Medicago truncatula: one gene and its partner. The main gene of each other region encodes a partner of the protein of the gene in region 2 in a complex. Links are inferred from orthologs where the notes say so. Each region holds a gene or a part of one and is shown on either strand. Other genes may lie near its edges.

Region 1 (17,433 bases), on a different chromosome or scaffold from region 2:
AACAACTGAAATTAAGTAGGTCTTATTAGCATTTTTAAATTGATCTTAGTTACTATGATTCAGTTAAGGAATAGTTAATGTGCTGCGTAGAGAAATTTCTTAAGACAAAGCCTTCCGTAGTTCCTTCCCTTCCCAATCCCGACTAGTTTCTTAAGACGTAGTAAAGTACTTATACGTATAATTGGCTTTTTATTTTGTCATGTATCTTTAATTATTTTTAGCCTAGAATGCACAGACATTATAGAGATTCGTATAATTGGTTTCATTTTATTCAATACAAATGATTTTGGTGATGTTTGAGGCAAATTTCATGACAGAACGTGACTACTATATCATGTTCGATTTAGGAAAGTTCTACATCGAACACCATACAACAAAGTTTATATTTGTTTGAAATGTGAATTACAAATGGAAGGAAAAGTTGGAAGGATATAGATTCACGATCTTACTTCTCAATTTATAATCTTGTAACATAATTTCTTTTTTTATCTCTAAAATGGAAGAGAATTTTATCTCCTCCATATTAACTTGTGTGCACCTTTCAAATTTCATTTTACCTCCTTTTGGATTTTAAAATATTTAGAAAATCACTTCATTTTGGTCCTCTATAATCAAAGATAATTTCTTTTCCCATCCTCTTAACATCCGGCATGCCTTCCAAATTGATCACTTTACATCTGTTTGGATTTTATAATCCAAAATGTATTTGACGTTTTTTTGATTAAAAAGTCCGAACTGTGTTTTCACAGTTATGATCAAATTTAACCCACATTCCAAATTATAAATCACTATGATCAATCTATTCCCTTTATAAATCACTTAATTATGGTTCTCAATAAGGGAAACAAAATTCTTTTCCCACCCAATTAATTTATTAAGCGCCCTCCAAATTGATCATTTTACCTTTATTTGGATTTTATAATCCAAAGAGTATTTGACATTTTTTAGATTATAAAATCTGAACTGTATTTATACAATTTTGATCAAATTCAAATCATATTTCAAATTTTATATTCATCACAACTCACATTTTAATCCTGGTTGATTTAACAATAAATTTTATTTTTATGTGTGTCGAACACAGTTCGAAGTATATAATCCAAAATGTGTCAATTCACCCGAATCATAATTATTAACACAATATGTGCCCGTTTCAAATTATATCATTCGAACCAATACTGAGCAATAGTTCATATTATAAAACCGAAATGTGTCAGGCTGTGGACGATTCAGACGGTTTTTTGTGTGTTTATTGCATTTTTGGTTGATTGGGTCATTTTAAACGTTTATTTTGACTTTTGTTACAGTCTAGGATTGTGTTGTTCCGATTAGCTCTGAAGATTGTCGTGATTTCTGTTGTAAATGAATAGACACAGTTGTCCATGCAGAGTAATATTAGGGAATCTAGTTCTTGAAAAGGTGATTAACTTCCAAAACAACTGAAATTAAGAAGGTTTTGTTAGCACGTTTAAACTGCGGGATTGTAATCGACTTAATCTAAGTTACAATGATGATTATGTTATGAAAATTGGTGTGCTGTGTTGAAAATTTTTCTAAAAAAAAATTAAATAGCAAAAGAAAAATTAGTTTATGATACATTTATATGTTGTTTTTATGGAATTCTACAACCTGAGACATAATTTATACGTTTAGTTAGATGAGAGTATTCATAGCAATGATAATTGGTGATATTATTTGAGCATTTTGTGTTTTGGTGATAAATGATGAAAAAACAAAAATAATGACAGCTGTGGGACCTTTCGGACCAGAGCCTAAATCTGGCGCCGTAGACCACTCGGCCAAACTGTCTTGTTGTGTTCAATTTATAAGACAAATCATGGGACAATAACAAACAATAACATTTTATCACAACAGAACAACTAGCTCACTGTTTAGTAAGAAGAGAATAGACGAAGAGAAAGGATCGAGTTCAATTAGTTCAATTGTACCGTAGCCTCACACACAAACAAGGGAATTTGATGAAATAAAAGAGAACCGAAAACTATAACCACATCATCCATTCTTCCTTGAATCATCTCAGACATCTCAATTCTAAAAGCATGACAGTGAACACACAAAATACATTGACACCTAGAGACGTGGATAACAAACATCTTACCGACTGTTGAGAAAATAAATATATCTTTGATAACGAAAGGGGGGAAAATGCATAAAAATTATAAGGATAAGGAAAAACTCACCAGCTAGAAATTAGAGTTATGAAATCAACAATTTAGTTCGAAAGATAGGAGAGCCTTTGGCGATAAATAAGAAATTGAATATTCTGCAATGTGATCACAGGTTTCACATATAAAAGACCCCATACAAGTGCAGATCTTGAAGTAATTTTATCCCTTTCTCATCACAGTAACGCTGAAAAAGTTCCCTTGTATCTTGCAGTGCCTTCGACTTGAAAAACATACGGTGTGAAGATTAATACTAACAAAGTTTTGTTTACATTAAAAGAGTTAAAAGGTAATATTACTGCAGGAAATTTCGTTCAAAAAGGAAATGGCAGCAAAATACTCAGGAATTCCTGTGGAATAATTTCCGCAGGAAAAACGTGAGTTTCTAGTAGTGTAAATAATTTTTAGATTCATTGGTAACTGTGGGATATCACGAATTCTATACCAACTTGGATTCATTATTCCCACAGAGCTAACTAAATGATATAACTTTGTGTTTGTATACTTCTAACCGAGACTTTGAATTGCTGACTTGAGTAACTTCAGCATATGACCTAAGTATTCTGTTGTACCACTCCAAAGTCTCTACCAACATAGGATGCTGGGCCTAACATTCAACAACTCTATCAAATTCAATTTTTTCCCCTAAAAAAAGAAACAATTTCAAGAAGTCACTATTATCCTTCAACAAGACCAGTGTGCGATTCATTGAGTCAGATCAACAAGACTTGAAGCTCAAACTCACCGATAAGTTCCTTTCAAAGTCACTATTATCCTTCAAAAACTCTAAGCTAATACGCGTCAAGTTTTGGATGAAAGAAGTCATGGAAGTGTCCTTGCAGGTGTGGCAAGAGTCTGTGCAGAGTGATATTAGGGAGTCTAGTTCTTGAAAAGATGATTAACTTCCAAATCAACTGAAATAAAGTAGATCTTAGATGATGTGCTGTGTAGAGAAATTTTCTAGAAAAATTAGTCTATGATACATGATTTTATCGAATTCTTCCACCTTTGAGACATGTTTTTTGTATTTGTTTTCCATATTCATCTTTGCTATGTTCTATAAGCAATAACATCATTCATAGTTAGGGCTCTGAGGAATGCATAGGTCAGAAAGCTTCATGGGAAATGAAAGGTTGCTATCATGTGTTTCACCATATTTCCAAAGTAGTGTTGATATTTTAGGATATGGACTGTGACATGAGCATCACAAATTTATATTCATCTTTGAAATGTTATTTTATTTTATGTTTTGTATTGTTGATTCATGGTATGTGAACTCATCTTTGTTTATCTCTAATAACCTTATAATCAAGAAAACAGAGAAAATGTTTTTTCACTTAGTAGACAGTTGGGAAATCGCGAATCCGTAACTAGCCAACTTGTTCTTTTATTTTTATTTTGTCATGTATCTTATCATTACGTCTATCCATGTCACTATTTCTTTTTATTTTGTCATGTATATTTAATTATTTTTAGATTTGAATACATGGACATTATATGGATTCATATGATTGGTAAATGATTTTTAGTTTGGAAATGATTTTGATGATTTTTTAGATAAATTTTATGACTACTAACATCATGTTGGATTTATTAAAATCCCACATCGGACACAAGACAACATAACACTATATTTATAATTGTTTAAACTGTCTTTATAAGCTTAGGAGAATGTAAGGGCAATAAATTAACTGTTTCTAACATCTCTCGATTTATTGTCTCCAACAATCTCCTTTTCCATTTATTAACTTCTCTGTATCCGACATTTTTTGGATTATAAAATTTGAATAGTCTTTGATCAAATACAACTCACATTTCAAATTATATATTCATCATAACTCACGGTTTTGATTATATATTCCTTTTAAAATCACTTCATTTTGATCCTCTATAAGAAAAAGAGAAAAACGAAAACACCACAACAACAACGGAAGCTAAAGCAAGAACACCAAAACCCCACTGATCAACCCCCCAACGAGAAACCATGGAGGCCAAAAGGAGGGAAAGCTCAACATGGGCGGTCGAGAACTAGAGGCCAACCACACAAGACACTCCCTATTTCCCTTTCTAAGTACTTCACTTATAAAAAATGTAAAGGTCTCATATTGTTTAACACTCTCACTCAAGGAATTACAAGCATAAAACACAAATGTCAACTTTCTATATTTTAGATGCCAATAAAGAAATAAAGGCACCAAGAACAAATATGATCAAATTACTTTTGTTAGTTTTCCATATTCATCTTTGTTATGTTCTATTTGTGGATTGGAGAAACTTTTGTTTTTCATTTATTTACTAGGTCTATGAGGTTGCTAAAGAAGTCTTCATGGGAAATGAAAGGTTGCCATCATGTGTTTCACCATATTTCCAAACTAGTGTTGATATTTTAGGATGTGGTGAGTGACATATTTATATTTATCTTTGAATTGTTATTTTTATTTTCCTTTTTGTATTCTTCATTTACTGATTCATATAATTAGCTTGTTATATTGTCATGTATCTTTATTTGGCCGAACCTTACTAATCAGACAGACCAGAGCATGACCCTAATTATTTTTAGACTAGAATACACGGACATTATAGGGATTCATATATATAATTTGTTTCATTTTATTCAATATACAAATGATTTTGATGACGTTTGAGACAAATTTCATGTCTGAAAGTAACTACTATATATCATGTTCGATTTATTAAAGTCTCACATCGATCACAATACAACATATCATTATATTTATAATTGTCTCATATGTCAATTTTAAGTGTGAGGCATGTGTAAGGGAAATAAATTATCACAATTTATTTCCCTCAACTGTGTCTTCATTTTGGTCTGCGTATACATAGTTTCATTTTATAGACCTCTATATTGGATGAGAATTTCTTTTTCCGACCTATTAACTTCTCGTGCGCCTTCAAAATTGATTATTTTACCACTGTTAGAACAACCTCTTCAAGTGAATAAGAAATAAGAATTTGAGAAAATGTAAAACAATTGTCACCTAAAACTTATGTTAAGTAGTTTATGTGAAATTGTGAACCTATTGTTAAGAACTTGAAAATATTTAATTCCATCACTAACACTATAACATGCTACAGTGTTGCAGTTTTGTTCATTTTAAGATTTTGGATTCAAAATATATGTTCAAAATTGAAATCTTGAAACTGTGGAATGTTGGCACTAATGCATTATATACATGGCTTCTACAAATTTCATTAAACAAATAATTATATGTTGAACGTAATTTGAAAGAAATACAAAATACTTTAAAAGTTGTATTTATCTTTGAATTGTTATTTTGATTTTGTTTTTTGTAGTGTTGATTAACTAGAATGTGAACTCTTCTTTGTTTATTATCTCTAATAACCTTATAATCAAGAAAAAGGAGAAATTGTTTTTTCAATTAGTAGACAGTTGAGAAATCACGAACTGGTAAATAGTCAAATTGTTCCACAGTGAAGGTTCGTAAACGGTCTTTGGCTGGCTATGTATCAATTTGGAAGCAACCTGCAAAGAGTTGGATTTATTAAAGTCTATCAATGTCTCTCCTTTACTATTTCTTTTTATTTTATCATGTATCTTTTATTATTTTTAGAATAGAATACACCAACGTCATAGGGATTCATATAATTGGGACAAATGATTTTTTAGACAAATTTTATGACAAAAGTAACTACGAACATCATGTTGGGTTTATTAAAGTTCCGTATTGGACACAATACAACATAATACTATGTTTATAATCGAGGTGAAATGTCTTATAAATTATGATGAAAGTGGAGGGGATTAAATTGATTGTCTCTAAGATTTCTCAATTTTGATCCAGCCAAGCAACCTTTTATGATTTTTGCTTGAAGTGCGTACGGGGGACAAATTGGGTTTTTGATCGAATTTTAAATTTTAAAGGATATTTATTTTAGGAATTTTTATTAAATTATGTTAAGAATTTTGTATAGATTTTGCTAAGAATTTATTATTAATGATAAAAAGAAAATAGTAGTAATTTTCGAAAATGTGAATGAATTAGGCGTAATGTCTAGGATCAAAATCCAAGGCGTTACAATTTTGATGATGTTTGAGACAAATTTCATGACAGAAAGTAATTACTGCATATCATGTTGGTTTTATTTAAGGCCCACATCGGACACAATACAACAAAACATTATGTTTATATTAGTCTGAAATGTAAATTAGAAATGGAAGAGATAGATGTGTATGGACATAGATTGTCTCTTAAGCGTCTCAATTTATGTCATATATCATCATTCTTCCATTTTAAACGTTTTAAACCTCTAAAGAGAAGAGAAGAACTGTGTTTATGTTCGTGCACTCTTCAAATTGACCATTTTATCTCCTTTTGAGAATAGAAATTATTTTCTTTTTGCACGTCCTTCAAATTGATCATTTTGTTTTTGTTTAGATTTTATAAACCAAAGTGTAATTGAAATTTTTCGGATATTAAAATCTGAACATGTGTTTAGACAGCTTTGATCAAATTCAACTCACATTGTGTTGCGGATATATTGAAAAGTCAAATTATATATTCATCACAACTCGTAATTCAAATTATGCTTCAGCATCGGTTTGGTAAGTACAAAAACAAATATTTTGCATTTGAAGGGAGTAATGTTAATACAATACAATTTTCACTATGGAGTTTTTGCCAAATAATTTATTCTTGCCTTCAAGCTATGGAGTTTGTGGTCCGTGTTCATAATGTTTATATTATGACGAGGATATTGGGATTACTCGAGTACATGTCATAAATAATGGAAAATGATTGGTAGACCACTCATATTTCCATACCACTCATACACCCCCACATATTCTAGAGGAGAGAGATGGATGAAAGAGAAGAGAGACAAAGTGTTTGTGGGGTCTAGGACACGTGTCACATGTTTATGTGGAGGTTTAAGTGTGTATACCACCTATGGATGTACATGTATCACCACTTTAAATAATTAAGGAATTTGTTGTATTGTGGATGATAAGTAAGCAACTATTGAAGATTTCATTTGTCACACCTTATTATGATGCATAATCATTGACATTTCTATATTTTGATAAGAAAAAATAAGGACACACACTCTAATGACTATGACGCAGCACTCAGTTTGAAGAATAGTTGGGGAAATATGCAACGTATTCATGTATTTGATAATGGGAGTTTGACTAGCCAAGATTTAACTAAGGGACTAATTAAGTTCTCTCAATATACTTTTGCTGCAAGGTACATATTGGTTTTTGGGTCTTTGTAATGAGTTTAAGGTGCCACTGTCTCTCAATACCTCGTTGACAATCACAAGGTATTTACTTTATAGTCCCTCCGTTCTTTGTCTCAAAATATAAATAAAAAAGACAAACTTTTATCCTATTTAATCTTATTTTTTTTAAAAAAAACTATTTTTCAAGAAAAACTTTTGTTTATTCTCATAAAATTAAATGCAAATTATATTCAATTTTCTCTCTCTTTCATTTTTTCCATAATCAATAACCAATGAAAATTGTTTTTACATTTTCCTATAAAACTTTTTTCAAAGAAAGCACAAAATTATACTCTAAAAAACTTTTTGCTTATAATTTGGAACGGAGGGAGTATAAGATATGATGATTAAATTGTAACATTTTCTCTTATTTTTTTCAAAATTGAGTTTTTTTTCCAAAGAGAAACTCGGTATCTACTACACCCTAATTACTTTAAAAAAAAGTTGGACCCTTTGGATATTTATTGTTACTGCATGTCCAACTATTGAATGGTTATGGCCCTTGGCAAGTTGCTAATGATGGGCATGCCCCTGCTTGTCCCACTAGACTAGAGTGAAGGTGACCGCAATTGCAATTGGTCTCCTTAATGGAAGGTCGATTCTTTTTTTTCTTTCACTCAACCCTCTAATTCTTGGAAGAAGGTAGTTTGAAAATCTGAGCTGAAACGTAAGTAAAAGTTAATAAAAATTATATTAAATATTATTTTCAATCTTGAAATTATCCTTAACATCCGTCTTCATCCATCTGAACTTGATTCTTGTAATTATAATTTATATGGAATTTTTTTTCCATTGGTCCTACCTTGTATTTAAATTGTAAACAATTTGGTGAGTGGTCAATTTACAATAGGTCTCTCTCTCTCTCTCAATTCAGAACTTTGCTAGTTTTCAATAGTACACACACGTGATAGTAATCGATTTGGAGTTATCTTTAACTTGTTGATTCAATCATTTGAATGCACACCATCTTCGTCCTCAAGTCCTTTTGGGGAACTTTTATTGCTTTAATAAAAAAAAAGTGTTGCTTACAAGTTACAACTACATGATGTATTATTATAATGTTGTAAATTGTGATTTGGTGATTGCATGATATATATCAAGTAAGATTATTTGCGAAATGGTCAATTATTGACATTAATACATCCAGTTCTATTGAGTTTATATCAATCAAGAGACGAGACTCATATTATATTGAGCTCACACAAGAGGATGATATTGATGATCCATTTTAGAATAATGAGAATTCTAATTGATTATCACCTTATATATATATATATATATATATATATATATATATATATATATATATATATATATATATATAAGGTGATAAGAAGAGAGATGCATAAGAAGTATCATTTGAGAAAGAATTCATGCATTTCAAATATCTAATTGAGTAAATTTTTTAATTGAAGTTAAACTAACCTATCTAAATTAACTTCAGGAAGAATCAAACTGTATCAAACCAACTCAAATGAATTTCAAATATCTAATATATTTGATAAATCAACATATTGTATATCACAAGGTAGTTTATAATCATAATCTTTGTATTCAATATGTCTTGTATTGATTAACTAACTATTAAACCATGCTTATATACGGGATAAAGAGCATATTTTATTAGTTACCAAAATGGAAAGAAAAGAAAATGTCAAATTGTCTTTAGACCGGGGGACGAGACTCGTACATTGCATTTTAGTAGTATTCCTTTGTCCGTGAGTGTGAAGCACGTCTTTTTTTACTACTTTTTTAATACAAAGTGTCTTTCGTTTCGCAAACCCTAGTATAAAAATTGATAGTCAAATATAATAAATATTACATTAAAATTTGTGTTGTCAACTCTTTAAAAATATAAAAAGTGTTATTTTCATTTTAAAATTTCATATTTTTAATTTTCTTAACTAGTATCCCGAGAACACCGGTTAACATGACGCATCAAAATTAGGCTTGGCAGCTATTTCTTCATGCGAATCTTGCATTTTGTCAGCTAATCATTTAGAAATAAACTTTTGTTTTCCATTTGTTGATTTCATAATCTGTAACCCACACTCAGAACTACGATGAATAAAAAATGTTACTAAATACTTCAACAATAAACTAATTCTGTTGGTTTACGATGCAAAATGAATATTTGATCAATGTCAATTTGTTTATAATAGATGAATCAAAACAATCAATTTTGTGTGTGTTAACCCTCCAATTTTTAAAGGAATATTGCCTTAATGATAGGTTAGGAGATAAATAAAGTCTCAGCAATCATTTTTCACCTAAAAATCAATTTGGATTTTCCCCAGCGATAATAACCAATTTTTTTTTTTGTGGTGGCTGGAGTTCGAATGATAATAACTAATTTATATTTTTTGTGGTGGCCGAAGTTTGAACCCCTACCTTACAGATATTATGCATAGTCTTTATCAATAGAGCTAAGCTCACGAGGACATAATAACTAAAATTAAATTCAATTATCCATTAAACATAAAAATTGTACTACTCATTCATTATACCATCTTTTCAATGGATGCACATCTATTCAGAACGTATAATTATATCAAAAATAAAAATTTGTATTATTTAAAAGGTACTTTTGTTCGTTATTATTTAAAAAGGACTTTCGTTCATTGTTTAGAAAGTAGAAACTATTTAAATTTTAAATTAATGAAAATTATCTATTAGCTTTAGCTCAGTGGTACTCCCTCCGTTTTAAAATATAAGCAAATTTTACTTTTTAACTTCATTCCATTAATGATGTATGAGGTTTATATTATGAACCACATGAACCACATAGATCATTAATTGAATGAACCTTAAAAATAAATTTTGCTTATATTTTGAAACGGAAGGAGTAGAAATTTGCCTTGCGATATCAAAATACTTAATTTGAATCATCTCATGATTTCTTTGAGTCTTACAAGTATGATGTCCCTTGAACCTCTCATTTGAGACATTATTTCTTTGTTTCATCTTTCTTATCAAAATCCTCCAACCATGTTTTTTTTTCCTCTTTCTTTTCAAGTGAGTTAAGATCCTCTCCATTTAAATTTTTATCTATTTCTACCATTTAGAGAGATATAGACACAAATTCTTAAAAATAATTAATGATAGTCAGACTTATTTAATGATATGACCCACCACCTACTTTATGTGTCTATATCTCTCCAAATTGTAAAAATGGAGAAAAATTTAAATGAAGAGGATCTCAACCCTTTTAAATCACTAGAGCCTTTATTAGGATTCCTCTTCCTCCTTTTAAGTTTTAATACAATAGTTTTTGTTTGTTTTTCACTTTTTCGTCACAGACGAAGTAAGTTATACACACATAATAAGAGGTTCAAATCTACGACACTTCAAAAGAAATTAAATCTAACAATATTGATGTAATTTATAGTGGTTGATCTTACAAATGTTGCTTGTTTTTTATTTACATACAACAAAGTAAAATCATAGTAAGAAATTAGGTTGTAAATACGATGATATGTGTAACTTCCGTGAAAGAAAACCGTGATTTGATTCTTCTTCTTGTTTTTTAATTACAAGGGAGGTTATTAGGCTAAATTACAAACGAATACGTCGATTAAAATAGACATTGGCTATATCCTGTCGTAAAAGGTTAAGATAACTCGGCAATGGAGGTCCAAATAGTAAGTACACGTAGGTATTAAAAAGGCATAACTCGAAAATCAATCAGCTACTTTGGTTTGTCTGCCTAAAAATATAAGAAACGCTAATATGTTAATCCTTCATTATAAGACGATTAATGAGTGAGACAAACATATACTTTGGCAAAGTGGTAAAGAGGTTGTCATCGATAGACCAAGGCATCTGTTTGATCCCTTGTGCGGACATCTTAAATTTTAATTTGGATCAATTAGTTTAATTTCTTCAAAGAAAAAAGAGAGTGACAATAGAAAAGTAAGGATGTGTGTGTCGAGGGACATCCTTTGTTAACCAAAGATATCGTAATAGTTGAGTCAAATTCAAGAGAAAATGTTGCGCGTATCTTTTTTTTTTAGACATACGAAATGACAAAATTATTATAAATTCACACATAAGTGAAGTTTTTAAATTCGAACCCTAATCATAATGTTCCGCTTAATAATTTCGATATTTTTATACCATAAAAAGTGTAAGAAAATAAAAAAAGTTATCTTTTTCTCTTCTCCCTCATATTTTATTTTTAATAATAAAATTTCTGGCTCGAAAGTCCAAAACATCCCAGCGTCAGATCAGACTCAGACACAAAACTTGATAAGAACGAACAACGATAACCGTTTTCTTCTTCTTCTTCTTCTTCTTCTTTGCAACACTTTCACTTCTCAACAAACTCTCTCTCTCTCTCTCTCACAATTCTCGTTGTCGTTTACTCTTCTTCCTTCATCTACATTGCAAGTAAACGACAACAATATGGGAAACGCTAACGGAAGAGAAGACGGAGCTATTCCCGACGCCGGCGATCCTTCCGGTCGTGAACCTCACGCGCCACCTCCTATTCGTGCTTTTTCTTCCGATTCAATGGCAAATAGTCCGCCTCAAAGTCCTCGTCGTTCCAGATCGCCGATCCTCTTCGGTCCTCAGGTTCGCTTTCTATTTCGTTCTTTCATTTTACGCTTTTCTGAATTTTTTGTTATACAATAATGTTAGTTGTTATTTTCGTTCGTTAATCGTTACTGTTGAATTGAATTTCGATTTTGTGTGTTCGTTGATGATGCTGTTCATTTTGTGATTAGTATGTTTGATTAATGTTAATAATCATTTTATGAATTAAATTAAATGCTAATAGGTTAATTTTGTTGAAACTGTGGATTATTATTGAGTTTAAATTGTATGTAGATTATTCTGTTTGTTTAATTGGTCGGATCTGCGGATTCTGTTATTGATTTGGCTGGCTCGCGAGTGCATGGATCGTGTATAGTTGATGAATGTGATTTGGATTGAATTAGGAATTAATGTTATTACCAAGTTTAAACTGTAGGTTATTGCGTGTGTTATATTAAATGGATCCGCAAATTCTGTTATTTATTTATTGATCGATTGGCTCACGCGCGCATTGATTGTGTATGTATATATGAATGTGATTTCAAAAGGAATTAATGTGTGGTTGATTTCCATGTGATTTGTCTGTCCAAAACTTGATTAGATAGGGAATGAGGGGGTGATGAAGTGTAATGTTGCGAATCTAGAAAGTTAATTAATTGCTTTAATCTCTTTGAAGATTTTGAAGAACGGTTATGCTTGACAATCTGTCTGTTAATGTAGTTAGCTTACCATTTTTGCGATTCCTTGCAATAATGCAATCTCATTTTGGTTTAGTGAGAGTCGAAAACAATTTACCAAATTTACTAACGCAGGGTGTTTGTTTATGTGGGCCAAGCATGCACACATTTAAAAGCAGTCCTTACTGATAAGGAAGAAACCGTTGACCATTTGGAGCCTGTTTAACTTGAAAACAAACAGGCAAGAAGCCGTTGACCATTTGGTGCTTATTGAACTTGAAAACAAACAGACACTTAGTCATAACTTCACGGTTCAGACATTAACACACGATTCCATCTTAGTTTGAGTTGGACCACATGATTTTTGTCCTTGTAAAACACGTGGAGCCATGTCTTCACGTTGCAGATGGTTGTTAGTTGTACCAGATAATTGTATATGTAGCGTTACACCATTTGGAAATTCACATTAATTGTTCTAGTCTAACGGACTCAATCTGTTGATTTTGTCTGTTTTGGAAATTGGGAATTGCATTTAATGACGTCCTTGATCAAGTGTGTATCGGGAATTGCATTTAATAACGTCCTTGATCAAGTGTGTAAATTGTGAAATGATCTGTTTGGAGGAATGTCTATGAGATATATGCTTTATGTCCATATGTTGTGTATAGTTGTAATTGAGAAGTACGATTGTCAATTTGGCTTTCAATTCAAGCTTCTGGATTGACTGTTTGCGATTCGATGTGTGGACTTTGGAAAGTCAATAAGATATATATTTTGTAGAAGCCATTTTATGGGTGAAACACTATGGACTTTGTTTTGTATTGAGTTTTGTTGTGACATGTTCCCTTGGCTACTAGCTTACTGTCCTCGAAGTTTCTGAATTGAAAAATAACACATGCAGTATTGGAACGTGAGTTCACAGAACACTGTGCCAATGTTGACCTAGCAATTTTGGATTTCGTAACCAATGCATCATGATGTGCACAAAAAATCTTGTATGCGGTTATATTTTTAAGCTTTTAAGCTTATTTAATATCAAAATTTCTACGCAAGATTATAAGCATGAACACTTGCATTGCATATACATTTATTCTCTCCTGATCTGTGTACACTTTATATTGATCCCGTTGATTTGGAAATTGCTCATTGTCATCTTTCTTCCTGGTCATTGTTTGGAATTTTCTATTTTTTGCGTTGATAAGAGAATTGAGAGAAAATGTTTTGTTTGGCAGTTATCCCCCCATTCTCCTGGGAATCTCTCATGTAGAGTTCATAGATTTCCATTTCCAGTAAATTTTAACAGACCAGGCTCATACTTTATCAACTTTATACGAGTTATCACTGTCCTTCGCTATTTTACTGCCTTCTTTGAATTTTAGATGAATGGATTGTGCACAATTTCATTTAACATGGACAAAATATTTTTTATTTTTTTACCCTTTCATATATAGGAAAGTTTTTCCTTGGTCTGCTGCTGCTAATGCATATTTTTTTAGCTGTCAGCCCAAAAATAATTTCCTAGTCAGTAAAAAAAAACCATCAATATGTGGAAAATGACTGTCTATCTTCAATTGTGGAAATTGTTTTCCAAAACATTTTCAATCTTAAATAAAAGAGTGGTGCTCCTCATACTCATAGCATTTTCTTAATATATTTCATATTCCAACAACTTTGTATTTGGCCCTAATCATGACACATTTAAATTCGTTTAACTCCACATGATTCAATTCAATTGATGTGATCGTTTTTATTGACTATTTGATTCCATATCTGGAAACGTGATAGTTGCCCTCCAAAACAAGTTAGATTTCATGAGATATCTTAGACAATTTTAACTATGCAACATCCGAAACATCGGCAGATCTTAGTTTTGATGAGGATGCCATGGCCACCCAAAAATTTCTTCTTTTCAATAGGTACACATAAATTTTGTAGTATCAACACACACACACACATTATGTGTATTTATTTACCAAACTATGTATGCCAGCGCAATTGTGGAAGAGCGTTTTTGCAGCTTAAGTTTCCTGGGATCGAATCTGGCAGAAACCTTTTTTATATTTCCTTGGCTAAAATGTTGAACGCGAGGTTTGAACTCAGTCCACTTAGCTTTAAATTACAACAAAACTAACCACTACACCAGCCAACTAGTTCTATAAATTTAAAGCAATATTGTTATATATATTCTTTACATACTTGCCCCCCCTCTAAAATACTGATAAAACTCTGCTACTGATCCCAAATGATTGGGGTCAGTTCGCACCATAGCTATGTGTCCTTGTTAACAGCTGTAGTCTAATGAAGCTTCATGGTTATATTTTCATATGACTGTGGGAAAAAATTAGGAATTTCCTAAAATTAAAGACTTGCCAATAATTAAAATCTAAACATAGGATTTCTCTGTACTTTTCAGGTTCCTCTAGCTCCATTACAAAGAGGTAACGGGCCTCCTTTTCTCAATCAAATGTGGCAGAATGAGCCTCATGGTATTGTTAATCAAGCTCCTGAGCAAGGAATCCCTGTTATGATCACTTGGAATTATGGAGGTAACAGTGTGGCTGTGGAGGGATCTTGGGATAACTGGGCATCTAGGTAAGATTTGATAACTCCTTTGTTAGTAATGGTAGCTTGATTGAATTTGACATGAAAAGTTAGCAATCGGTTAATTTTAATTATCAGGAAGGTATTGCAGCGAGGTGGCAAGGATCACTCGATTCTTATAGTCCTCCCATCAGGTATATTTCATTACAGGTTCATTGTCGACGGTGAACAAAGATATATTCCGGATCTTCCTTATGTAGCTGATGAGATGGGGAATGTCTGCAATCTTCTTGATGTTAATGTATGCATCTTCCTTTTTGTGTTTTTTTCTTCTTCTGCAAACATCTTATTGTTATGTGAACAATATCCTTTTCATTATGAAATGAAATTCGAGGATCTTGTCCTTTTGGTGCAACGATGATTGCTTGCTTGTATGTAATATGTGGCAGTTTTTTTCTTCTTCTTTGGGGGTGGTGGTGGGGTGCAGGTAACTAGATGTGAGGGGTAAGGAAAGAGTTCATTGTTTTTTATGTCATATATCAAGGATGAATATAGACCGAGGAAATACTGGATTCTGTACTCTACTGTTGGTTTATTTACTTGAGTTTTGGAAAGCCAAATTTCATGAGATTTTCTGCTTTTAGGGCCAGAGCATTAGTGTGATGAAATTTACTATAGAACATACTTAATAGTTAAATTAAACTTGAGTTCTAACTTAATTTGCTTTCCATGAATTTGAAGTTGTTAATCAGTAGGGCTTTGTTTGCGAGTTCGGAGGGGAGGACTTTGGAAAAAAGGAAGGAGCAAATGGAAAGAATAGGGGAGTTTTAGGAGGGGAGGGCTTTGGAGAGTTTAGTTTTCTTCATAATACAAGATCCCCCTAATTTGGGGGAACCCAAAAGTTGTATTGGAGGACTTTAGAGGGTTTTGGAGGGTTTATACGAGTTCTTCAAATTCAATCTATGTTGTTATAATATTCTTAAAATTAAAAAATATAGTAATTTTAAACATTAGTTTATCATTCTCTAAAAAAAATAATCTTCTAAAAAATGTGAAAGATTTATCAAATTTTCCTTATATTTCCCACCCTCCAAATCCCTCCCCTCCCCTCCAAACTCCCAAACAAAGCCTAGGAAAAGAAAATCCTTGTAATTGTAATAAATGTTTGTTAATATTTCCTGTCCTATCTAGTCCAGGCGAGTGTCCATGATTGCTTTTGATTGTTTGATTATGATGAGGAGTTATCATCCCATTTAATGAAAATGATTTGTCTTCCATTTAATGATTTGAATGTTCTTGTTTTTTGCAGGATTATGTGCCAGAAAACCCTGAAAGTGTGTCTGAGTTTGAGGCACCACCCTCCCCAGAATCTAGTTATGGTCAAGCATATCCAGCTGAGGAAGATTTTGCAAAAGAGCCAATGGCTGTTCCTTCGCAGCTGCATCTTACAGTCCTAGGCATGGAGAACGCTGACTCCGGTCCCTCTTCAAAGCCTCAACATGTTGTGCTAAATCATGTCTTCATAGAGAAAAACATGGCCTCAAAATCTGTTGTTGCCATGGGAGTGACTCACAGGTTCCAATCGAAATATGTGACAGTTGTCCTTTACAAACCTCTCAAGAGGTAAATATGTGACAGCTGTCCAGGTTGTTGTTTTATTTTGTAGCCTCAGTCTGTAAAAAAATGTTCAAATAATACTCCCCTCCGTAGGTGGTATGTGAAGGTCTTGTATCTGTAGATATGCTCGAAAGAATCTGGTGTTTCTGTTTCGACTTGATACATCAAAACTTTCAGATTTTTGGTAACATTTTGCGTTTTTCTTCTCCTTTTAGAATTATTAGTAAAATGTCAGTAAGGTACCTAAAATTTGATGTCGGCAGTGCTACTGAAGTAACTTCGTTCCTGTCTCAGTTATGTTTTTTTTTTTGGTTTATAATCCCAAGTTAACAATGGGAGTAGTGTAACTCTAGTGCATTAGCAGTGAAACTATTGTTTCTACATCTTAAACAGCTTGTTTGGTTCAGATTTTACCCCCTTCAGTTCCCCTCTTTTTTATGCTACTCAATAGCTTTCAAAGGTCTCCCTTCTTCTTAAATGTTTGTTTGCATCTTCTATGACAATATATAAAGGCAACATACAATTTTGGTGTAGCAATTTGTTCTTACCAATATTGCCCTTCATTTGACAATCTTTTTAATAGGAAGATTAACTTGGTTGTGAATGAAGGTGCA
Region 2 (16,915 bases):
AGAATTTATTTATTTTATATTTGAGATAGATGTGATGGTTTATTTAATAAATTACTGGTTATAATATGAGTAATTTATTTTTCTTTTAAGATTTATTAGTTATATGAACTTTTAATAAATAATATACATATAACACAAACATTAATATTTATATTTATATATATATATATATGGGGTTTGCTAGAAGTAGCCTAGAACACACCCACTAATTTTTATGTGGAAGTGTTTTAGCAAAGCTACACCTTAAGGTGTATTTAACCACTTTTTAGTTATTCACTTGCTAAAATACTCCTTCTAAAAACTAAGTGGGTGTATCCTAGCAAATGCCTATAGGATTTGCTAGAACACACCCACTTATTTTTGTTAGAAGGTGTGTTATAGCAACATACACCTTAAGGTGTATTTATTAACTTTTTAGTTATAACTTGCTAAAACACTCCCACATAAAAACTAGTGGGTGTGTTCTAGCAAATCCATATATATATATATATATATATATATATATATATATATATATGTGTGTGTGTGTGTGAATTTTGCTAATTTACACTCACCTTAAAAACTTGAAGGTGTAAGAAGCAAGTATGCACCTTTTCATCCTTCATTTTTGGAATTGAGTACCCGGAGTCGTGTACATTGACTCAAGATTTTGATCACGCTTGGCTGGTTACAACAGTCCCTTAACCATATTTGCATCAATCAATTCTCATCTCCTATTATACAATGGTAAAATGAGCCGAGAACACTTGACTAATTTCTTGTGTAACATCAACTGCGGTCTTCGTAGTGGTATATTGAATGTTTTGGGTTAGAACTAGGAAACTATACCATGTCTGTTTTTTCAGGACGTAGAATATTTCATGTGGCTAGAACTAGTGAATGATCGAATTGAAATTTATATACCAAGTATTAAAAACAATGCTGTCATGCCACCTCAATAAAGAAACACCATTTTAATTTATATACTTGATAGATAATTAATTAATCATAGAGTGGTGCATGACATAATTTCACATGGAAATCAACCATTAAAAACGTTTGGTTTTCTTTTTCTAATATTTTTTTTTGTGATCAAACTTGAAAATTTTATTCACCTGAAGTCATTGTAATTCATCAAAGTGATATAATAACATCCTAATTAAAGTGAAAAACCAAGCCAGAAAAATCATTCTCCATGGTTGAACACCCAGAACTAGGGCTTGTAATTGTAATGGCAAGAAGCGTAGGTTCAAATTTGTATTCCTATTTTATTTGCTTTACTAGCCATTGCAACGGTTCTAGTTTTTGAGAAGTCTCAATTTGATGAGATCGTGAAGTTTAATCTTGTTGGCATTCAACTTTAAAAGAAAGTCAGATTGACTGCTGCTTGGAGAAAGTGGAAATGCATGGAAGAGAGAAACGTATGGAAGACAGCGAGAAACTGAGGGAAAAGATCAAAATGCAAGATGTCTGTGATGCATAATAATACTTGCGGCCTTCTAATACTCTGACCGTTCACTTGCTCACGTACGGTTCACGATATCAGACGCTCGTGCAACGTAGAAGTTGCCATTGTTTCATTCTATCCATTAAAACATAACATTAAAAAAAAAAAAACTGATAAAGGAACTAGAAAAGAACACAATAAGACATGACTATAAAGGAACCAATACCCCTTAAGGAATAAGATCTATTTATAACAAGTGAAAAATCAACATCTTGGCCTCTAAGAGCAAGAGCTACACACGAGTTTGCTTTCAGATGAATGTGATTAACCTGAATAATCCAACCTAAGAGGTGGATAAAATAAAGAACCTCCTGACATAGACATTGAAGATGAAGGATAGCAGTAAACCGATTGTGAATCATATTAACAACACGAGTTGAGTTCGAATGCTTCTTCTCTTCAGGCGGTGAAGCTGCGTGTTCAGGCAGCCACCTCTATGAGTGGTAATCTCTCCGTTGGTAAATGTGTTACTTCGGATACCACTGTTCTTGATTCGTTCTTTATCAGTCCCCATAACCGCCATTTTAGAGATATTATTACGGTCACTTGGAAGGCTCCTTCAGCTCCTTGGTTCAAAGTTAACATGGATGGCTCGGTGGTTGGGTCCTTAGGCGCCTGTGGTGGTTTGTTTCGTGACCATTCGGGCGCTTTCCTTGGAGCATTCGCTGCTAATATTGGAAACTCCTCTGTTTTTATGGCTATATTCTAGCTATGGAATATGCAGCCAGTAACGGTTGGAGAAACATCTGGTTAGAAAATGATTCCACCAGTGCTTTAGCGGTTTTTAAGATCAGGTCTCTTGTTCTAGTGCTCCTCAGAAACCGTTTGCATAATGCTTGCAATCAGGGAATTCAGGTCATTTGTTCTCACATTTTCAGGGAAGGTAACTGTTGCGCCGACTTGCTAGCTAATATGGGTCACTCTCTTCATGATTCAGTGTGGTACTCGGTGTTGCCGCATGCTTTGCTTCCGCATTTCTTTAGGGACCGCCATGCCTTGCCTAACATCCGGTTTCCTTAGATGGTGTTGGTTTTTCTTCATATTTTATTTTCCTTTTTTTTGCTGTGCTTTCTTTGAGGGTTTTGGCCTAGACCCCGTCTTGTACATCTTTTTTCCCTTTTTTAATAATATTTTTGAGCTGGCCGGCATAGGATGGGAGTTCTGCGGGGTGCCAACCTAGTTGGGTGTCGCTGCTTCCCCTTGATGTCGTTCTACGCTCCTGGTTTAGCAAAAAAAAATAAAAAATGAGTTAGATGCATAATTCAAGTAAGACATCTCATGTTCCAAGATACACCAAAAACCTTTTCACAAATTGACAGTGATGATCTCCAATAAGGCCACCCCAAGCTGAGTGACAATGGATGTAGGATCCATATGTGTTAATTTTATGTATGTAACACAAACAACATTGTGAAAATACAGTGTTTCTATATGTGTGTGTCTATATATATATATTTATATTTGTATTTGTGTGTGTGTGAATTTTGCTAATTTACACTCACCTAAAAACTCGAAGGGATATGCAGCAAATATGCACCTTTTCATTTGAACAAAAATCATTCATCTTTATTGCTAAAAACTAATAATGAGGGCTAGTTTTGTAACTTTATTAAAAGAATATTTGTTAATTTACACCAACTTTACTTATGAACTTTTTATGTTTCAAAGAGACAATGACAAACATGAAACAACTCAAATAAGGATGATTTAGGTTGTCTTCTAACTTTAAGAGTTCATCTCCATCATGTTTAGGGGTAACGCATAAAAACTTATTCACCAGAACCATAACCTCACCCAATCCATTAATTAAAAAAAGAAAAAGGTTTGGTTACCCTTAAATACGACGTGGTCACTCATAAACAATTACTCTCACAAAATAGAGACTCATAAACGCAACTTTAAACGGTTCGTCTTTTTGCATGGACAAGACGGAGAGACTCATAAACGCATTTGTAAAAACGCAACTCCGAACAATTCGTCTATGTGCTTGGACAAGTCTAACAAATTTCCACGTTGAGGGTGGCAAATTGAGTTGTTAATAAGGATCAAGTTTCGATCGTAGTAATATAAGGTAAAGATGTTGCTTATTTGCTTGCTTATCTTGAAAATATTGATTCTTAAAAATAAGGATCAGGTTTCGATCGTAGTTACCCGGATACCTCGACTCAAGGAATTGTATCTTGAAAATATTGATTTAACTTTTTTTAATTCAAAACAAAAACTTAAAAATATTGTTGTGTTACTATCCGAATCTTTTTTCATTAAGTGAACCAATTGTTTCATATACAATTTAATTCCAATTTTTTTGCTAAAAATAATAATTCCAATTTAATTCGGTCCATTTCTATTTTTGCCCGTGTGGTTGAACCATTTAAAGCGTGAGTTATACGACTTAAATCCACAAATTTACAGGTTGACATGTTAACCTGCCTAACTTTTATTTTATACTCCCTCCGGTCCTATATATAAGAAACAATTTATTTTTTTGATTCATTAAATAGTTGATGTATTTGGTCTATTTCTAAATTAGGTACATCAATTATTGAATGAATCTAAAAAGTTAACTTTTTCTTATAAATAGGACCGGAGGTAGTATAATTGATATTAACATAAGTGCACGATTTTTATGTTGTAGTAAAGTATAGACCCTACATATGCTTGTGAATATCAAGGTAGCCTTTTTATTCTCCTAAGTGTGCAAATAAATAAAGTATTTTTTGTATTTCATAAAGGATGCAAGATGATTGGAAAATGATTTGATGTTTGTTTTAAAAATATGTAATGATGGAAAGTGTATCAAAATCATCGGAGTTCATTGTTGTAAGGAACAATCCAAATCTTATTCCTTCCTTTTACCTCGAAAATGCATGTCTGAGGATAAGATATTCACTACTGTTTTCTATCTCTAGTAAGAAAGAATTGCCTCATTAACAAGATTACTTATTCCCATTGCTAACCTTATTGATAATGACCACTAAGCTCGAATACCCATTAGTACATCCCAAAAAAGTCTTTGGCTATTATCATGTTTTGTTTAACCTTATATTCCAACGACTTACCTTCATTTTCCATTTATCGGTAGGTTGCCGAAAATTTTAGTGAATTAAGATCTTTCAATATTCACATTATCAATTTCAACTCTTGTTCCTTCATTGATAACATCGATAAATGATTGTTAGATCTTGTTGTGCTTAAGTCAATCTAACTTGGCTAACCAAGTTCTAACAACCACACTATAATTCTATTTAAAAAGCAAGATCTCTCCACAAAGAAGATTTAGATATTTAGCAAGCAAGATCTTTCCATAAACAAGATTTAGCCTATAAACTACGTCCATCTGATTCATACAACGATATGGTAGTTCGGAAAGTGGCATTCTCATAGAATGCGTTGATTTCCCACAATGGCTCACGTTGTTTGAAGGAAGAGATGCTAAGATCTCATGACTTGGAAAACATGAAAAGAAATCGACAAAATTATCCTGATTCTAAGTAAGGTTGATTGAAATGGTAAGATATTTCTTTCAGTTTAACAACCGATCTTTGATTCGATTTTAATACTTAAAATGTAGTAGTCTTCAATCACTTTTAGAGAGAGTTTTGTACCCGATTTGAGATATAAATATATGTAGCTGTGCGCAGATTTGACACTTGGTTCATAAAAAAAAGTCACGCTAACTGTATCCATGTAACACTTATTAAGAAAAAAAAAGAGTAAATTTTGTATCTTTCCTAAACAATATTAGTAGTCACGATATTGTCATGATGTTGTGGTGTTTGTGGCGACGATGCAACAACAAAGTGTGGGTGGGTGAACTTAATCCTATTACCGAGGTCGTCCAGCTTGCATGAGATGCTCTTATTCAATGGCAGTCAGTTCGCGTTATGAAAAATATGTAATGATGGAAAGTGCATCCGAATCATCGAAGTTCATTGTTATAATAAAAAACAATCCAAATCTTATTAAGTGTAATGTTGACAAAGCTTTTTTTGCTGATCAACGGTGCTTCGGTATTAGTATGTGAATTGGAATTCTCGAGGCCATTTTATTAAAGCTTTAACGAAATGGTAGGATGGTTTCCTCCCCGATAAAAGCAGAGGCATTAGACTGTGTGGTGCCATCTTTTAGCTTGATCAATTGGGACTATCAAATATGCAAATTGAGCTAGATTGTAAGTAAGTGGTAGACATCATTGCTGATAGACTAATAATCAATCTGAATTTGTTAATAGGGTTAATGGTGTTTTACCCCCCTGTAATATAAGTCATTTTTGGTTTTCCCTCCTGTAAAATATTTTTTTTGGTTTACCCCCTGTAAATTTTATTTTTTTTTGGAATACCCCCTAATAGGTCATAAAAAAACGAAAAAATTATGCAAAAAAAAAATAAAGTCGTTTTTTTATGACCTATTAGGGAGGTATTCCAATTTTTTTTTTTTTACAGGGGTGTAATATTACAAGGGGATAAAACACCATTAACCCTTGTTAATATTACGTTTTGATGTAGATCACTATTACGATATTTTCCAAATGTTAAGACAAGTTTTATTAAAAAAAAAACAAGTAAATTGTATTGCCCAAGTGTAAAGAAGGTGTCAAAATTGTATACCTGTCACCATATCTTTAATTTGAGTCTATCATATATTAAATTTAGGAAAATGTTAACCAATGTTCTTAAATATTAGTTAAGAATATAAAATTAAAAAGATTGTGAAAAAGTGAATATTCAACTTTTTGAAAATAAAAAAAAAGTTGTTGTTTCCAATAAAAAAATTCTATAATTAACTTCCTTAATTAGTGTCATAAGGTCACTGGTTAATAAGACTCTTACATTTATTATGTCGTCGATAGTTTAACTAATGTGCCAAAATTATAGTATGAGTTAATTTTTTGGTATGAGTTATTGTGGGTAAAAGAAAAAAAGCAAAACAATATGAATAATCATGGAAGGAGTGGTGGTCAAAGGCAGAGTCACGTATTGTTCCTATCCTGACCTGTCTCAATTTGAATTAAAAATTAAAAATAATGTTACTTGACTGTCTAAACTAGATAATGATATTATTTCTATCTTCAATATAATAGATTGACACGCCATCTCCATCTCCACATCACAGTGAGAGTGAGCGTTATCAGTGACTCGATATCAATAATTATGTATGTACTCAGCTCAAACAAATACAAGCATAACCTAACAAAGGGCCCTATTTCCAGATTGATTGGTCTTGTGCCTTTAAATTAATTTTGTATCTAAAACAATTTGTACCTTTCAATTTTACGGTCAAATTCAGGTTAATTATATAATTCCTATCCCAAATATTCCCGAATCAGTTTAAGTGAACATCTGAGTCATTAAGCTCAGTTTAGTGAAAGTGCCAAAGTGACAAAAGAATTATTATATTAATATAATATAATTAATTAAACTAATATAAGACCTAAGGTTTATTTTCATTTTTACTCCACCCAACTCACTTAAATATTAAGGATTATGTAAGTGGGACGTGACTCCCTTAAAATAAAAAATGTCATTAAAAAACTCAGAGTTGATACATGTAATCAATGAGGTGTAAGATATAAAAAGCAACCAATAATTATCATCTTTTAGAATAACAAATATTTTTTAGCATAATTGCTTTATCAAAATCAATAATCATGAATAGTTTATTACATACAAGTAGCATGATGAAATCAATTCTATGTGCTGCGCAAAACACTCTCCGGCTCATATTAGTGTAGCACACCCTTGTGGCCCATAGTAAAAACCGGATAAGAATGTGTTTCCATAATGAAATTACAAATTTGGATAAGTATACCGAATAGTATGGAGCACGTAACCATTCACGTTGACCACTGTAGTAAAATCAAACACAACATGTTACATCATCATAACCGTACACGCTTCCTTAATATAACCAAAATATGAAAATCAAAGGTGAATAATTCAGGTGTAGTGTAGGACACTAGTTTCAAATGTTTTAGTAGATTTTAGATCCCATTTTTCAGTTTATTATTATGGAACAATGTGTTGGGAGTAGTAAAGAGAAAAAGACAAAAACATAGAGATCTTATAATATTGTCATCATCATCAATTCATCATGCAGTTACACAGAGAGAGAAAAGAAGAGGGAGTAATGGCAATGGCTACAATGAGAGAGATGCCAAGGAGCCCTGAAGCCAAACTTGGGATGAGAGTTGAAGATCTATGGGATGTTCAAGAGGCACAATTAAGTCCTAATGACAAACTTAATGCTTGTTTTGAAAGCATACCTGTTTCTGCTTTTCCTTTGCCTGCTAAAAACCAAGGTAGTTTAGTGTCTATGTATGTATGTGTCTGATTTTGATTGAATAAAAGAAAAAGTGATTTTGATCACACCCAGATGAAAATTTATGTGCATGTTTGGTATCACGATAGTATATCAGAATCATGGTGGTTCACCGTGATTCTGACAAACCAACCAACTATGGTACCAAACATGCATGTGTGACCAATTGATGTGTTATTGTGTGTGTGTGTTATAATTTTTTTGTGGTGTGTTTTTATTGGGTTTGTTCTAAAAGTGTGAATTTTATGTTTGCTTGTATAGAAATTGAAATAAAATCAGATGCTACCTTGGCTGAAGCTGTGAAAATACTAGCACGTCACAATATTCTGAGTGCACCTGTTGTGGATGTTGATGCACCTGAAGATGCTACTTGGATTGATAGATACATCGGAATAGTTGAGTTTGCTGGAATTGTTGTATGGATTTTGCATCAGGTTAGATACATATGTCACTTGTCAATTCAATTATTTCACTTTCAGAATAAAAATGAGGAAAAGATCAAAAGACATATGAATCTAAAATTTACAATCAATTTTTGTACTTATATTTACAGTGTTTTCATATCTAAAAATGATATGATACCTGTTCTATTTAAGTGATTTTCTTAGATGCTTCAATTTCACACTAAGCTAATGTGATAATGTTGTTGACAGTCTGAGCCTCCATCCCCCAGGAGTCCATCCACTCCAACTAGCGCAAGTGCTATTGCAGCCGCAGCAAACGGAAATACTTTTGCCCGAGAACTCGAAGCCTTAGGCCTCGGATCTGCAGCGACAACTTCTGGAAACTTTTTTGAGGATCTTACTTCTTCTGAACTTTATAAGAACACGAAGGTTGTTTTGCGATGTCTAAATTTCTTTCAAGTGATTCTTCTTCCAGCTACTAATGAGTTTGTATTTAGTTATTTAAGTAGCTAACTTTTTCGCAAACAGGTTCAAGATATTTCAGGAACATTTCGATGGGCTCCGTTTCTTGCTTTGGAGAGATCAAACTCATTTCTAACCATGCTCTTGTTGCTTTCTAAGTACAAAATGAAGAGTGTTCCTGTGGTAGACTTGGGTTCTGGTACAATTGATAACATCATCACACAACCCGCCGTGATTCATATGTTGGCAGAATGTGCCGGACTTCAATGGTTCGAAAGTTGGGGAACCAAGGAACTATCTGATGTTGGTCTTCCCCTTGTGACACCAAAACAGATCATCAAGGTGTGTACTATATCATATAAGCTCTCATTGCATTGAACCTTGTCAAGTATGAATTCTGCATAACTCTAGTGCATACAGAGTAAAATGCTATCTTGCATTTCTTAAATGTGTGTGCATATATGGAAAATGCTTCAAAATAGTTATTTCATTTCCCCTTTCAAGTAAAGTAAACTTGTCGATCTTGATGAACTTGACAATGGATCGTTTCATTCTTTTCAGGTTTATGAGGATGAACCAGTCCTTCAAGCATTTAAAGAGATGAGGAAAAAGAGGGTTGGAGGGGTGCCTGTAATCAAAAGAGGTGGCACCACGGCAGTTGGTAATATAAGCTTGCGAGATGTTCAATTCTTGCTAACTGCTCCAGAAATCTATCATGATTATAGGTATGTCAGAGGTTTTAAATTGTGATTCGCAGTTGCGCCACAGTCCTTGATATTGCTGAGAAATGTTGTCAAATATGGCTGATGCGACCTCAATCACGGTCAGAGACATCAAAAACCTTGTGTCACGACCTGAACTGTGGACGCGGACCTTTTATTAAAACTGTGTTTAGACCGCATTGCTGATATCTTCTATCTTTCTTTCTTTAGTTGTTCTATCTGTTTCATTACTACATACTCATTGGATGTTCACATTTTGACAGAACTATTACAGTGAAGGACTTCCTGACCTCCGTTAGAAGCTACTTAGAGAAGAATAAAAACGCATTCCCAATGTCAAGTGAATTCATTACATGCAAAAGGGACTGTACAGTGAAAGAGTTGATTCAATTGCTTGACAAAGAGCAAATTCACAGGGTCTATGTTGTGGATGATGATGGGAACCTTGAAGGACTAATCACACTAAGAGATATCATCTCAAGGCTAGTACATGAACCCCACGGCTATTTTGGTGATTTCTTTGATGGTGTTCTCCCTCTACCTGCTAACAGCAGGGTTTAACAGACAAGGCATCAAGAAAGAATAACTTGCTCTTGCAGAGATTTTTTGTTTTTGTTTTTGTTTTTGAAATAATTCTTCAGAGGAAAAGTAAAAAATATGTATTTATCTTCAGGTTGAAGATGTGTACCTAGGTCTTTGTAATGTGTAGGCAGTTTGCAAGTTACTTGCACCTGTTTTAACTAATTTTAGAATGGGACTTTTATGTACTGTAAATTCTGGTGTAACCGTAAGTTCTGTCAAATTTTGGGTTGTTTTCGTTGTCTTCGATTCGTGTTTCTGTTCACCTTATTATGACTAGAGCGACACGTGTCTATCCACATTTTTCTTTTGTATTTTGTTTTTTTATGTATTATAAAATATGTTTACTTCAGTTTAATAAATTTATGTGTTTTTCACTTTAAAATATTCAACATAGTTAATTTTCAGATTTTCTATAATTTTGACATACTATTAAGATTTAAATTTGCAGAGAATTTAATTTATTAAGGTAATTTTGTCCAGCAAAATTCCGACCAAAAGTTACTCCCTCCGGTCCTATTTATAAGAGAATTTTAGGTCAACAAAAGTTGATGTATCTAGTTAAAAATTCAGTCCAAATACATTCACTTTTGTTGACCTAAATTTCTCTTATATATAGGACCGGAGGTAGTATTAGTTAACTTTCGAGTTCCTTTTATATACTACTAACGGAAAATGCTCACAAGTAATGGTATAAATTTTGAAATAGTACCTGGTGCATGAAAAGGCTTAAGTTGAATGGTAGTCTTTGTTGGTGGCTATGGAAACAGACAAAAGATAATATCCCAAGTCCCAACACGACAAAAAAGAGACCCATTATTCTCGGGGGTCGGCTTGGAACGTATCCCAATTGGAACTTGTGTTTTGCACTTGTTAGTTTGACGTAGGAAGTTGACAAAAACAAAGAAAATGAAAAGGTTGAAAACAAAGGGAAAATATAGGAAAACTACACTAGCGTACGGCGTACTCACATTGAAAACCAGTTACTTAGCGTGCTTAGCCAAAAGTGAAGTTTCATCACATGCTCAAATAAAGCAACTCTTCCAGTTTAGGCTGGCCAAGCCTAAAGTGTAAAGATGTTCAAGAGACAATTAGCATTTCTGTTTTGGTCATTTATGGACAGTGTAAGTGCAAAGTAATACCTGAATCAAAATATCTGTTGCCAGCAAACATGATAAGAATTTCAATAATTAAAAATCGAGTCAAATCGAAATGGAAGACTTTCATTCCAATTCACTAATGTTGTATGAACAATACCCAAAAATCATATAAATAATAACAAATAACATTTACAATTGATATAGTTTCAGCATGTGTCTGTCTGATCACCGATCATGGTTTCTCAACACATACATATGACAAAAGAGTATGGAGTATGCTTGTTAGAGAGCTGAATTCGAGGGACCAAAATAAACGCAAATCATCATAAGTTTGTTCGTCTTGCAGAATTATTGCATGGTAAGCCACAGCAAATTAGCATATCCACATAGCTGGAACTACTAATTACAAAACAACAAAAGGCACACGAACTATTGCAGCAAAAGACGCACAGAAGTGGCATCTAACAAAGGGGATGGTAGATGCTAGAAGATTGCAAGATCAGAAAACGTATAAACAATAACATCTTTTTTGCATGGGCACACAGCTTCCGACAATCAATATGACGAATAATTCGAATGCCATAATAACTGTTGATCTATTTCAATGATTCTTGGACAATCAACATCATTTTGACTAACATCTAAGCCTTTTCAAATGAGCAAATTTTAATGTTTTGAGTGGATCCAGTTTCTGGTACACCTATGTCTTATTTCCTCACTTCAATTATTATCATCTAAACATAAGATATACACAGACAACATGGTATCTGTCGGGTCAGGTAAGAAAAGCACAAGTTCATTCATATAGAAAAGTGAAAATAATGCAAATTGCAGATATGTAATTTACATGAGAATCGGATCATAGTTCAAGGCAGCAGCTATTAGTGTGACTGTATGAGAGAACTATTTCAACAAGTATAATGATTGCCGATAACAGCATAAATAAGTTGTGCAAGACACTGGACTTAAGAATATATACAAAGATATTACAGTATTCGCAGGCGCAAAATCCAATTCTAACATTAAGACCCTGTAAAATAAACAGCTATCCAGGTACAAGATAGATATGCATGACACAAACTTTTTCAACTAATCCTGATAAAATGAGTTCACCTGTCAAAACTCAAAAGCATATTATCTTATAATTATTCTATGTACTCTTTCTCCTTATGTGATGTAATACAGCAGGGGATCCTTCAAATAAATCTAATAAATAAGTCTCTAGATCCTCTGGTACATACTTAATGTATTTGCCTGCATGTCTTCCCTCCAGCTGACCGCTAAATCTCCCCATAAACGAGCGGTATGCAGGTATCACCTTCTCTGATATATTTATCCGCATCTCTTCACGAAGCTGGTCATCAGGTACCTTCCAAGCTGTCTGAACCCTGTATATTTCTTCAAAACACGCGTTGAAATTCTTAAACCTTTCCTTCAAAGCCATCCTTGATGCATTATTAGAGCTCCCTCCAACCCCTTCATCCCTCAAACAAGCCAAGGCCTTGCTCCAACAGGCTCTAAGGTACCCCGTAGCATACTGCCGTACCTGACCGCGGCGCTTACGAACCCAATTATCCCCCAAAACCTCTATAAGATCTGAGTCCTTCACTTTACGCACCAGGTAATGTAGATTGTTCATCAAAAACACCTGCTGCAATGCATGGTCTTCATAAAGTTTTGATTTTTCCTCAAGATTGTGCTCAAGTTCAGACATCAACAACAATATCTGTCGTCCAAGAGGGGACAAAGCTTCTAACTGGGACTCATCACCACCCAAATCATTTTTAAAGTGGTAAAGAGCCTCTTCACTGATTTCCAAAAGCGAATCCATAGCATTGCTATAATCCGCAAGCAGTTTCAGGTAATTCATAACATAACGAGGCAAAGGATGAACATCCCCAGTTATAACCGGCCTTCTGGAAGTCTCATTCCGAATACAACTCTCAAATTCAGCAAACGTCCCTTTCACAGCCTCCCCAAGTCCTCTAAGCACACCCTTCGCCTCAGTAATCACAAACTCATCCGTAACCATATCCTCCAATTCAGGCAAAGCATCTCTCAGAACTTCATACATATCCAAAATCCTAAACAGCTTCTCCGGCGACCTCTTACAAATGGCAACAGCTTCACCAAAATTCAACAACATCATAACACAACCTTTAGCTGTTTCATTGAAACACATCTCCTTCACATCCTCCAATTCACCGAAAAGACTATCACATAGCCTCTTCTCTCCACTCAACAAAACCCTAACAACAACCTTAGCAGCTTGCACCCAATTCTTCATCCTCTCATCCAAACTCTTCCACTCAAACTTCTGCACCTCTTCAATACTCAATTTCTCAACTCCCAGAATCGCCAAACACTCAACCAACGCGTCACGACGAACACTACTATAAACCTGCAAACACTCCCTCTCATAACCAGACCTAACCATCCGATCAATAATATCTTTCAAATTCAAAATTGATTCCGGACGAACTAAATCAACAAACAAATCATCACCAAGACTAACACCACGTTCATGAAACCTATGAGAACCAGGATCACCCGCATCACCAAAACTCCCAGAATTATCATCAAACCCACCCGCACCATCGTGCGAACTGAAAGACAACGAACTCCTCCGATTAGTACTACACCGGCTAACAGCATCAGGCGGAACAGTATTACAAATCAGCACATGTCGAAGCTCGTCCTCGAGCCTCGACATAGCAACTTGGATCGCGTTATCAGCACGATCCAATATAATCTTACCGGTTTTTACAGCGGAATTAATCGGCGGCGAGATCGTGAAGTGTTCCATCCATTGAATAATCTCATCAACAGCGTTGAAATAGACTTCAGGATCATTCGGAGGATCGAAAAGCGAAGTGGATTGACGAGAAGACTCGGTGGATAAGGAAGAATCGTCAAGTATGACTTTCTCCGCAGCTTCGAATCGGTCAAGGTCTTCGTCGTCGTCGTCGTCGTCGTCGGATTTGGAAGATTTGGAATCGTCGCCGTTGATAAGGTCGGTGATACCGGAGAGACGGTTGTCGAAGGTGGAGAAGATTAAGAGCATGTCTTCACGATCTTCTTTGGGAGCTTTTAGGCTTTTGAGGATCTGTTGTGCTGTTGCGAGAACTCGATCGTCTCCACCGGCACCGGTGGCTCCGCCGCCGCCGCCGTGGTTGGTGGTGGCGGCCATGGGAAGAATCGAATTAGGGTTTTGTATTGGATTTTGGGTCATAGAAGAAGAAGAAGAAGAATTGTGTGTGATGAATGAATGTGTAAGAAATGAAAATAGAATAGAATGGAAGAAATGTTTGTGAGAATTATTCTCGGATATGTCAGAATTTTTTTATTTATAATTTTAATTTATATATTTTTTTGTAGGAGATGATTGGGGTGGTTAGGTGTTGTTTGGAAATGGGATGAAAGAAAAAAACTTTAGGAAGAGAAAGAAGCTGTTGTGTTGTGTTGTGTTGTTTTGTGTTGGCTTGGCCGGCTACCTTGCTTGGAATTTGAAGCCTATCTTACAACTAAATCAGTTTTACCTCTAAAAAAGTAAAATCTGTTTTAAAAAATTATTTTATTTATAATTAATTAATTTTTGTTATTGTAGAAGCATCTAGACAAAAAAACAATTCTAGTCACAATTTCAAATAAATTTTTAAATGAAAAATAAATTAATCAAATCATCTAGATGAATTCTAGGATGAGGATTCAATTAAGTCCCTCACCGATGGATCACTTATAATAACAAATAAGAACTATTAGATTAATCAAACATATACATCATATTATACATTGTATACACTAGATCACACATCTTTTTCAATACCCTCCTCCTCTCCTTTCTCTGCTACCAAACGTCCATGTCCACCAATGTTGCCCTTGCATTTAACATTTTTTGGGGTGCTTAATTGGTTATGATGGCAGCCATGGAGAAGATGAATCAAGGTATTTCCCAAATGAAAGATCTTAAAATATCGTTTGGACCAATGCAAAGAAATAACTTCTTGGTTCATCGACACACCTTTATTTTTCCATTCAATTTTGTTTAAGAAAAAAAAAATAGAATTGAAAAAGATGTTGCAATGAAATGAAATCAAAAGAAAAGAGAATAATTGCTTGCTGCTCACTTTATTTTATTTCTAATTCACTGAAATCATTAAAAGAAATTATGTATGTATATGTTTTCCATTGTTGCCACATGCCAAGGCATCAAGGACACGAACACAAAGTTCAATTTACGAAGGTTCAATTTCATTTTCAAGCCGGAACAATATCTTCTCTGTATGCTTAACTTACGCGACAGCTGCATATGAAGTATCCAGATCTCCTATGAGTATTGTGGAAGATATGGGGGGCATGATTGTGTGTAGCAATCTTTCAAAGTTCTATTTTTATTTTTAAAAAATCCGAACCTTTCATCAAATCTGATGATGAATAAAAAGTGATCCATCGGTGAGGGACTTAATTGGACCCTCACCCTAGAATCCACCAATCATCTAATATCATTTTTTAAAACTTTTTTTTTTTGAAGGATCATGTTTTTTAAACTTCTTTTGGTGGAATTTCCTTTTTAAATTTTACCAGTTATATGTATGTATTCAAATTAAATTTATTTGGAAATTATCCTATTTCAGAGTCGCTCTTAGATGATGTGCGTTTTGGTTTGTCATTTGGATAGTAAGACAAAGTTACCTTACGAGTCACGCGCCGGAATATTCTTCCAAGATTTTGCTTTAAAATGGGTGACAAATATTCAGGTCTTACTTTTTCCTAAACAAAAAAAAAAAAAGATATACAGGTCTTACTTTGATTGTATTATTAAATAAAATAATTTTTTTGATGTGCATATGGAATCAAATTAAATTTCACCAAAAAAAGGAAATAAATTAATTTTTTGGATTTTGTTTTGAATAAAAAATATTATTTATATATTTTCTCATTTATGAAAAAAAAAAGAGGATTATAAAATAGTGATTCTATAATTTATTTATTTTTTGTAAATTAATATAATAAAATAGTTTGTCTAACATGTGCAATATGTTAAAGTAACTAAAAATAGGAGCACCCTTATGATATTTGCTAGTAGTGTACAATTCAAAATCATGTTTCGTCTAACCAAAAAGAAATAAAAAATCATGCTTCGTATGGTCTTCTAGGGTTTCCAAAGCTAGGGTTTCCAGTGCCTCCCCTTTCTTGGGCTACCGCCGCACCTTGGGCCAGATCCACCTTGTGAGAAGTTGATCTACATCTGATCCATGATCTAGATGTTTCCTGGTAGCCTTTATATATCGTCTATTTTCTCTACTTATGATCATCGCATCCAAACCCTAACCTTCATGCGTCTGTATGCGTTATGTTGTTTCTAAATTGAGTCTCCTTGTTTTCCTCTGCCATCCTTGAACACTGTTTGATTGGTCGAGTCCTTGCTGATCGTGAAATCCAGTCTGCCTATTTCAGTGAGCGTATGTTGCGCGCTTGGAAGCCAGACAAACATGTTACGATTACGAAATTCGTTGTTGATCGTTATTTGTTTCAGTTCCACCATAAGGTTGATGCGGCTCGCATTCTAGATGAAGGTTCGTGGTTGTATGATAACTTTCATATTGTTATGGACCGAATTGCTCCTGGCGTCGTTCCCAGCTTTGTTCCCTTGAATCATATCAATTTTTGGGTTCAAGTCCACGGTCTGCCACTTGGTTTTATCCAACCTAAAGTAGGTCAAGGTCTAGGATGTTTTTTAGGTACCCTAAAAGCTTATGATGGTCGTAATACAATCCATAGCGCTTATATGCATATCAAAGTTGCCATTGATGTTAATGTCCCCTTGAAAAAAAATGGCGTGTC

Evidence for each region.
Region 1: SNF1-related protein kinase regulatory subunit gamma-1 (region 2) and SNF1-related protein kinase regulatory subunit beta-1 share a complex: the UniProt entries of both Arabidopsis thaliana proteins name them as parts of the probable heterotrimeric complex. The link is inferred for Medicago truncatula from reciprocal best matches to the Arabidopsis thaliana genes KING1 and AKINBETA1.

What each region holds. Positions count from the first base shown.
Region 1 is NC_053046.1:39,456,610-39,474,042, forward strand, and holds SNF1-related protein kinase regulatory subunit beta-1, read left to right. Parts: upstream 1-8,287; 5' UTR 8,288-8,315; intron 8,316-11,649; exon of another isoform or gene 11,650-11,773; 5' UTR 11,774-11,852; coding exon 11,853-12,023; intron 12,024-15,074; coding exon 15,075-15,253; intron 15,254-15,340; coding exon 15,341-15,503; intron 15,504-16,511; coding exon 16,512-16,829; 3' UTR 16,830-17,225; downstream 17,226-17,433. UniProt on the Arabidopsis thaliana protein: Regulatory subunit of the probable trimeric SNF1-related protein kinase (SnRK) complex, which may play a role in a signal transduction cascade regulating gene expression and carbohydrate metabolism in higher plants.
Region 2 is NC_053045.1:50,742,339-50,759,253, reverse strand, and holds SNF1-related protein kinase regulatory subunit gamma-1, read left to right. Parts: upstream 1-7,576; coding exon 7,577-7,784; intron 7,785-8,065; coding exon 8,066-8,238; intron 8,239-8,457; coding exon 8,458-8,637; intron 8,638-8,736; coding exon 8,737-9,012; intron 9,013-9,231; coding exon 9,232-9,395; intron 9,396-9,655; coding exon 9,656-9,953; 3' UTR 9,954-10,285; downstream 10,286-16,915. Other genes in the region: exocyst complex component EXO70B1, read right to left, coding at 12,222-14,303. UniProt on the Arabidopsis thaliana protein: Regulatory subunit of the probable trimeric SNF1-related protein kinase (SnRK) complex, which may play a role in a signal transduction cascade regulating gene expression and carbohydrate metabolism in higher plants.